2 linked regions of the Oryctolagus cuniculus genome follow. The protein of the gene in region 2 purifies or fractionates together with the protein of the main gene of each other region. This does not show direct contact. Links are inferred from orthologs where the notes say so. Each region holds a gene or a part of one and is shown on either strand. Other genes may lie near its edges. The genes, in order: MAVS and TRIM25.

Region 1 (3,806 bases), on a different chromosome or scaffold from region 2:
TTGTGCTAAGAGCCGCTGAAGCAATGGCTTGTATTAGAAGCACTTTAAAAACTGTGAGCATGTGGGGCCAAGTGATGACTGTCAAAGTAAGCTCGCGGAGCCATTTGAAGGTGAGGAAGAATCTTGGAAGAGGTGCATGCTGGGTCCCGGGTCCCCCCACGAGCTCAGGGCGGTGGGGTGCAGTCTCCCTGGAAGCATGGGCACGCGGCACGCTACAGCCACGGCCCACAGTTGTGTTCCGGAAAGAACCTGGTGCTGAGGGTCCCGGCTCTTTGCTCTTCCACGTCCAGCAGCCCCTGGGCTTCTTGGTACCTCGTTTTCTCCATCTTTAAAGTTAGATGATCCTATTGCTATCAGATTGGCCTCCACCACCATCACCCCCAACCTACCCCAAAGAAGCAGTACTTCAAGATGGGGAGTTATTGCTATTGTTCTAAGGGCCTTAGAGCTGGGAGCAACTCACAGACTTGGGAGCCAGGGTCATGGACAGGGCCCCGTCCCCCATGTGCTGGGGGTACAGGCAGACCCCCTTCCATGTGCTAGGGGCACAGGCAGACCCCCTCCATGTGCTAGGGGCACAGGCTCCAGCACCGACCAAGCTACAGGACAGACATGGGCCCTGCATCACCTGCATCTCCTTTTGGTCTTCAGTTCATTGTTGAGCAAATTCTTTGAGAGCCCCTAGGATCCAGGCAATTAGGACATTTAAAGAAATTGAGGGGCCAGTGCTGTGGCGTAGCAGGTTAGGCCGCTGCCTGCAGTGCCAGCACCTCATATGGGCGCTGGTTCTAGTCCCGGCTGCTCCACTTCCAGTCTAGCTCTGTGCTATGACCTGGAAAAGCAGCAGAAGATGGCCCAAGTCCTTGGGGCCTTGCACCCACGTAGGAGACCCGGAAGAAGCTCCTGGCTCCTGGTTTCAGACTGGCCCAACTCTGGCCATTGAAGGCATTTGGGAAGTGAACCAGCGGATGGAAGACCTCTCTCTCTGTCTCTCCTCTCTCTGTGTAACTCTGACTTTCAAATAAATAAAAAAAAAGAAAGAAAGAAATTGAAGATGAAAGATAAAAGCAGAATTCCAGCAGGCTGAGCAGGAAAGAAATGCCTTTGCCCCGCCCCTCCCAGCCCCGTGGCCTTGCCTTCTGCTCTCTTCCAGTCTTCCCCGTCTCTCAGTCCATCGCGCTCGGCCATAGCGCTCGCCGAGTCCAGGGCCCCGTCTGCAGAACTTGAGCGGCGATGACGTTTGCTGAGGACAAGACCTACAAGTACATCTGCCACCACCACAGCAGCTTCTGCCGTGTGGATGTTCTAGAGATCCTGCCTTACCTGCCCTGCCTTACGGCAAATGACCAGGTGAGCCCAGCCCCCGCCGGTTCACCCCAGCCAGGGCCAGCTCCTTCCTTGCCCCTCGTGGACCAGGGGTCTTCAAAAAATTCCTAGGAAACGCATATTCGGAAACCGCCCACATGTGGATTCCAAACCTTCCTGCACCTACATACACTTGTCTTTCTGATGTTTCTGCAAACTTTTCCCAGGCCCTGTATGCCGCCTCTTGTCCCTGCTACTTGGCGCACTGTGTGGTGGGGTTGGCTTTGCCAGCCTCCCCGGCTCCCTCTTGTGTTTGATTTCGTGTAGTGCTTCGGCTGGCTCCGGTCCCACTGTTCTTCGGAGCCCTCTCTTCCCTTCCTCTAGTCCTTGTCCTGCCCAGATTTGATTCCATTCTCCTCGTCCCAGGACCCTGCCCCACGGGCCCCCATGGTTCCAACCGCACCCAGCACAGAGAAAAACGCCCCTCCCCATTTCAGCTGCTGTCTCCAATGGGAGCCCTGCGCTCTCTTTCGGGGTCTCCTGTCTTCAGGCGTCTCAGGGCTGATGGGGTTTGACCCCTTCCTCTTGTATGTTGCATCTTGAAGATCCCTTATCGCTTAGCAACCGTTTTCTGTGTTTTGCTTCTGTTTTGTGGCTTGTTTTCATTTTGCTCTGGGGGGGGTTTCTGGTCCCAGGGCTTTTGCAGGCAATACATTTTGCTTCTCATCAGCAAAGGAGAGCTAATTACAGGACACTCAGAGTCCACTTCCCGGCAGCTGCAGTTGGTCGTTGGCTATTGGCTGCTGCTCATGGCTCTTCCTCATTCTGTTCTAGGGCCCTGATCCTGGCTTTGTCCTGGGCCAGGGTCCAGTGTCCAATGGCTGCTCCCCACTGGGGTCTCTCGGTGCCCCTCTCTGCAGTTGTCACATGCTGGGTGAAGAGGCAGCCAGCGACAACTGGCTTGAGCACGACTCCGGGGCTGTGTCTTCCAGGATCGGCTGCGGGCCTCCTACACGCGCCTGGGCAACCGAGACACCCTCTGGGACCTGTTCAACAGCCTGCAGCGGCGGACCGGCTGGGTGGATTCCTTCATCCGGGGCCTGAGGGCCTGCGAGCTGCCGGAGCTCGCTGACCAAGTGGCTGGCGAATATCAGCGCCACCTGCCTCGTGAGCGTCCTGCCCTGGCCCCGAGACCCTGCCTGCTTCCTCTGCCTTCTCTACCCTCGCCTCTCCCTCCTTGGTACCTCCTGCCTTTGTCCTCACCCTCCCACCCGTCTCCTGCCATCTGTGGGTGAACCCGAGTGTGGAGCCTGGCTGAGCCTTGGGCTTTCCCTCTGTAAGATGGGGCTGATGGCAGTTTCTGCACTGGGCAGATTCTGCGGGACGGTGCGTGTCGAAGGGGCCGACTCCTCTGATTTGTCGGGCTGTGTTCTTTGCCTGCTGCCTGCTTCTGGCCTCCGGGTTCCTTCCTCTCCACACCCACGTGTCCGCCCTCCCTCTCTCCACTTTACTTCCCCTCCTCCTGCTCCCCCTGGAAGCCTTCTAGCCCTCACCCCAGGCTGCTCCGTTACCTCTCAGCTCCCTTCCGCTGCCCCTTCCTGGCCCTGGTGCTGGGGGCATTTGGCATGGTCAGGAGAGGAGAGGGCCTGGGGGAGGGAGGGAACCAGCCTTGTTCATACCAAGGGACTTCAGGAAGCTCGTGGAAAGAACAGTTTGAAAGACACGTTTATCTTGGTGCCCCCCCAAAAAAAATTAAATCCATGCAGTTTTTATAGCATGCATTTCTTTCTTCCTTCCTCCCTCCCTCCCTCCTTCCCTCCCTCTCTTTTCTTTTTTATTTTTTCTTTCCTTCCTTCTTTCTCTCTTTTGTTTTCTTTCTTTCTCTCTCTTTTTTCTTTTGAAAGGCAGAGTTACAGAGGGAAAGGGAGAGACAGAGAGAGAGAGAGATCTTCCATCTGCTGGTTCATTTCCCAAATGCCATCAATGGCCAGAGCAGGGCCAGACTGAAACCAGGAGCCAGGAGCTTCTTCCAGGTCTCCCATATGGGTTCAGGGGCCCAAGCACTGGGGCCATTCTCTGCTACCTTCCCAGGCGCATTAGCAGGGACCTGAATCAGAAGTGGAGCAGCAGCCAGGACTCGAACCAGTGGCCAGATGGGATGCAGTGACTTTACCCACTATGCCACAGTGCTGGCTCCCATAACATGCGTTTCTGTGAGGTTTTTTAATTAATTAATTTATTTATTTATTTTGCCAGGCGGAGTGGACAGTGAGAGAGAGAGACAGAGAGAAAGGTCTTCCTTTGCCGTTGGTTCACCCTCCAATGGCCGACGCGGCTGGCGCGCTGCGGCTGGCGCACCGCGCTGATCCGATGGCAGGAGCCAGGTACTTATCCTGGTCTCCCATGGGGTGCAGGGCCCAAGCACTTGGGCCATCCTCCACTGCACTCCCTGGCCACAGCAGAGAGCTGGCCTGGAAGAGGGGCAACTGGGACAGAATCCG
Region 2 (3,806 bases):
TAAGGTAGTAGCAAGGTAGGGCATTTGTCAGAGCGGATGGGCCCCTCTCCAGATGGAATCCGAGAATGTCCAGTTTACATGAAGACTGGGGTTTGTAAGGGAGTGGGGTCCAGTTCTTCCCATCTGTCTCCTTCCGCTCGTCCATCTTCTCCTGGAAAGAGTTTTCTGGGTGAAATAGGTACAGTTCCTCCCAGGGTTTTATTCCCCAGTGTCATCAGGCAGGGCGGCCCACTTGGCGCTGGCAGGAGGGCAGGCGGGGATCACGTGCAGAGTTCTCAGGGCTATGGACAGGACTTTGCAGTGTGGAGACCCACGCTGCTGGAGGCTGCCCCCTTCCCTCCTCTGGTGCTTTGTTGACTTTAGGCTCCACACACACACACACACACACACACACACGGGCTGATCTCTAACTTCCTACCTGGCGAAGTCCCAGGTATGGGCAGGTGTGTTGTTCCAGGTAATCCTCCTTGATAGCCCTATGGGGTGGGAGCAGTTGTTTCTCTTTTATGGCCAATGAAACTGAGGTGGTGGGAGCTGTACAGCTGCAAACTGGGACTTGAGCTGGGTCCGTCTGACCCCACATCTGGTTCTCTGAACTTCCTTACTGTGCAGCCCCCCTAAAGGATGATGGACTGCTTCAGAAAGCTCTACACAGGCGAGACACGGGGTGGCCGAGCCCCTGTGGGATGGACTCAGGGGATGGCCCCTGGTGTTGGGGGTGAGGCTGACGAGGAGCTGTCTCACCCTTGTTTGTTTTCTCTGCAGAACAAGCTGAGGTACAAACTCACCATCATGTACAGTCAGATCAATGGGGCGTCGAAAGCGCTAGAGGATGTGCAAGCCAGGCAGCAGGGTGTGCAGGTGAGTGGCCAGGCCCTTGTCCACCACCAGGCGGGATGGGGGCAGCCCTGACCTTGACAAGGCTGGTGTTGGGTGCACTCACAAGCATCAGAATTCAGCACCAGCCTTGCAGAGCAAGCAAAAGCACTGTGTGCTCAGGAGAGACCCTTTGCAAACCCAAGTTGAAAACCACCCACAGGCCCAACCGTGGGGGAACCTTCAGAACTTGAGCTGGGGGTGGCTGCTGTGGTACAGTGGTTAAACCACTGCTTGGGATACCCGCGTCCCATGTCAGAGTGCTGGTTCGAGTCCCGGCTCCCCTGCTTCTGATCCAGTTTCTGCTAGTGTGCACCCTGGGAGGCAGCAGGTATTGGCTGAAGTGCTTGGGTCCCTGCTGTCCTCATGGAAGACCCAGAGTTCTGGGCTCCTGGTGTCAGCCTGGCCCAGCCTTGGCTGTTGCAGGCACTTGGGGAGTAAACCAGTGGATGGAAGCTTGCTTGCTCTCTTTCTCTTTCCCTCTCTGTGTGTTATTATGCCTTTCAAATAAATAAGCATAAAAAAAAAGAACTAAAATGTAGGAATATAAAGAAATGATTATGATCTGAAATGGGAGAAAAACAGGAAGCCAATATCCACTAGAGTTGCATCTTCCCTAAAAAGAGTGTTGTTTCCTGGGGCGCTGTAACAAATTGCCACAACCTTGGCGACTGAAACAAATGAAACTCATTCTTTCCCGGTTTTGGAGGCTGGAAGTCCAAAATCACAACGTGGGCGGGATCAGTTGCAGCATGGGTGGGGTCACACTGCTCTGACAGCTGTGACCGAGAGGCCATTTTTGCCTCTCCCAGCTCCAGCCCCTCAGGCTGATGGCTTTGTGGCTGTGTGGCTCCAGTCTCCCCCTCCTTCCCCTCTGTGTTTCCAAACACCTGTCAAATAAAAACAAAACACCTGTCTTTAGATTTAGGGCCCACCAGCATAATACAGGGTGATCTCATGTTGAGATCCTCAATTTAATTACATCTGCAAATACCCTTTACTGGGAGGCAGGTGTCGGGGGATAGGGAGGGAAGGCAGCATTGGATCCATTGCAGGGAGTATAGGAGAAAAGATAGGAAGGGAGAATTTTTTTAAAAAAGATTTTTTATTTATTTGAGAGGTAGAGTTACAGACAGAGAGAGGGAGAGACAGAGAGGTCTGTCATCTGCTGGTTCACTCCCCAAATAGCTACAGTGGCCAGGGCTGGGCCAGGCTGGAGCCAGGAGCTGAGAAATTCATCACAGTCTCCCACAGGCCCAGGTGCCTAAGCACTCAGGCCATCTTCCGCTGCCTTCCCAGGTGCATTAGCAGGGAGCTGGGACTCGAACCGGCGCCCACATGGATGTCTGTGTCTCAGGCTGCAGGTTGACCTGCTGCACCACAACGCTGGCCTCTGCTAACACATCTTGATTTGGACTAGCCACGTCTCAAGGGCTGGGAATGGAGCACAGGCACTCTGGTGTGGGATGCGGGCATCTTGACTGGCACTTCAGCTGCGAGGCTCAGTACTCAGCCGCTCCATGCATTTCTTTACGTGCTATCTCATACACGTATGCATTCTGTAGCAATCGATTCTGCCCTTCTGTTTGTTTCTCAGCTTTACATAAACAGCTGCTTCTCCAAGTCTGTGTCTTCTTCAAGTTGTTTTTCTCTCTTGGAGCTTTATCCCTGCATGGCTCCAGTTTATTAATCCTCATAACCATTTGGCTTTCCGTCCTGTGAACAGCTCTGTCTCAAGTCTTCTGCTGACAGATTTCCGGGTTGTTCCCAGGTTCTCGCTGTTTCAAAGCGTGTCACTTATGAACATTCTTGTGTGTGTCGCTGAGGCAGGTGTCAGGGCATTTTCCCAGAGTGCTTTCCTAGGATCGCAGCCACCGAGTCATTGGGCACAAATGCCTCCGAATTTCCTAGACTGCCTGGTTGCTGCCCAGGGTGGCTGTGCTGGCTCCTACTGCTACAGGGCACAAGTCAGAGTTTCTGGTGCTCTGCCTCTCACCCACCTTGGGATGGCAGCTGTAGCAATTTTTTTTTTTTTTTTTTTGCCCATCTCACGGTTCTTCTCTTGCCTCGGCCCTCTTAGGAGGCTACAAACAGGAAGATAGAGCAGCTGCGACAAGAATACCTGGAAATCAAGGCTCTCATCGATGCCTCGGAGGCCAGCTCGACTCGAAAGATAAAGGAAGAGGAGAAGAGAGTGCACAGCAAGTTGGACACCATTCACCAGGTGCTCCTCAAGAAGAAGAGCGAGATCCAGGCCCTGAAGGAGAAGATCGAGGACGGCCTCAAGGAGGGGGACGAGTTTGAGTTTCTGGAGGTGGGTGGCAGGGCCCGGGACTGCCGGGTCTCTTAGCGATACGGTGGGGCCTGGTGCCGTCGGGCTGCAAGAGGTCAACAGAAGTATCTCTGAGTTTGCTGGGTTGCGACAGGACTTCAAGAACGTACCGCAGCCCCAGGGCTTAGAGCTGCTCAGCGGCTCCCTGGCCCTGGAGTATGGGCATGGCTCCGTCTGCGCAGGAGCTCACGACGCCAGCATCTGGGGGCTGGCTGGGCTGCGTTCCTTTTGGAGCGCACATGGCGTGGCCGTTGTTGGTAGAATTCATTTCCTTAGGGTTGAAGGAATGAGGTCGCCCCCTCCTTGCTGGCTGTCAGCCAAGGCCTCTCCCAGCTTGGTAGCTTCCTTCCTCAAAGCTAGCAGGAGAGCTGCTCCCTCGAGGAAGGCCTGGTCCTCCTTTTACCTGATTGTCTGGCTCACCCGAAAAAATCCCCCTCTGGATGAACTCCAGGTCAACTGATTCGGGGTCTTCTTGTTGTTTGTTTCTTTTTTTTTTTTTACTTTTTAATTTTTATTTTATTTATTTATTTTTACTTTTTTTATTTTTTTGACAGGCAGAGTGGACAGTGAGAGAGAGAGACAGAGAGAAAGGTCTTCT

What was found.
Region 1: the proteins of TRIM25 (region 2) and MAVS purify together in Homo sapiens (affinity purification with western blotting; 3 studies listed by BioGRID and IntAct, with this or other methods). This does not show direct contact. The link is inferred for Oryctolagus cuniculus from reciprocal best matches to the Homo sapiens genes TRIM25 and MAVS.

The regions. Positions count from the first base shown.
Region 1 is NC_091442.1:29,181,331-29,185,136, forward strand, and holds part of MAVS (mitochondrial antiviral-signaling protein), read left to right. Parts: intron 1-1,153; 5' UTR 1,154-1,233; coding exon 1,234-1,350; intron 1,351-2,297; coding exon 2,298-2,472; intron 2,473-3,806.
Region 2 is NC_091448.1:32,516,366-32,520,171, reverse strand, and holds part of TRIM25 (E3 ubiquitin/ISG15 ligase TRIM25), read left to right. Parts: intron 1-765; coding exon 766-861; intron 862-2,956; coding exon 2,957-3,190; intron 3,191-3,806.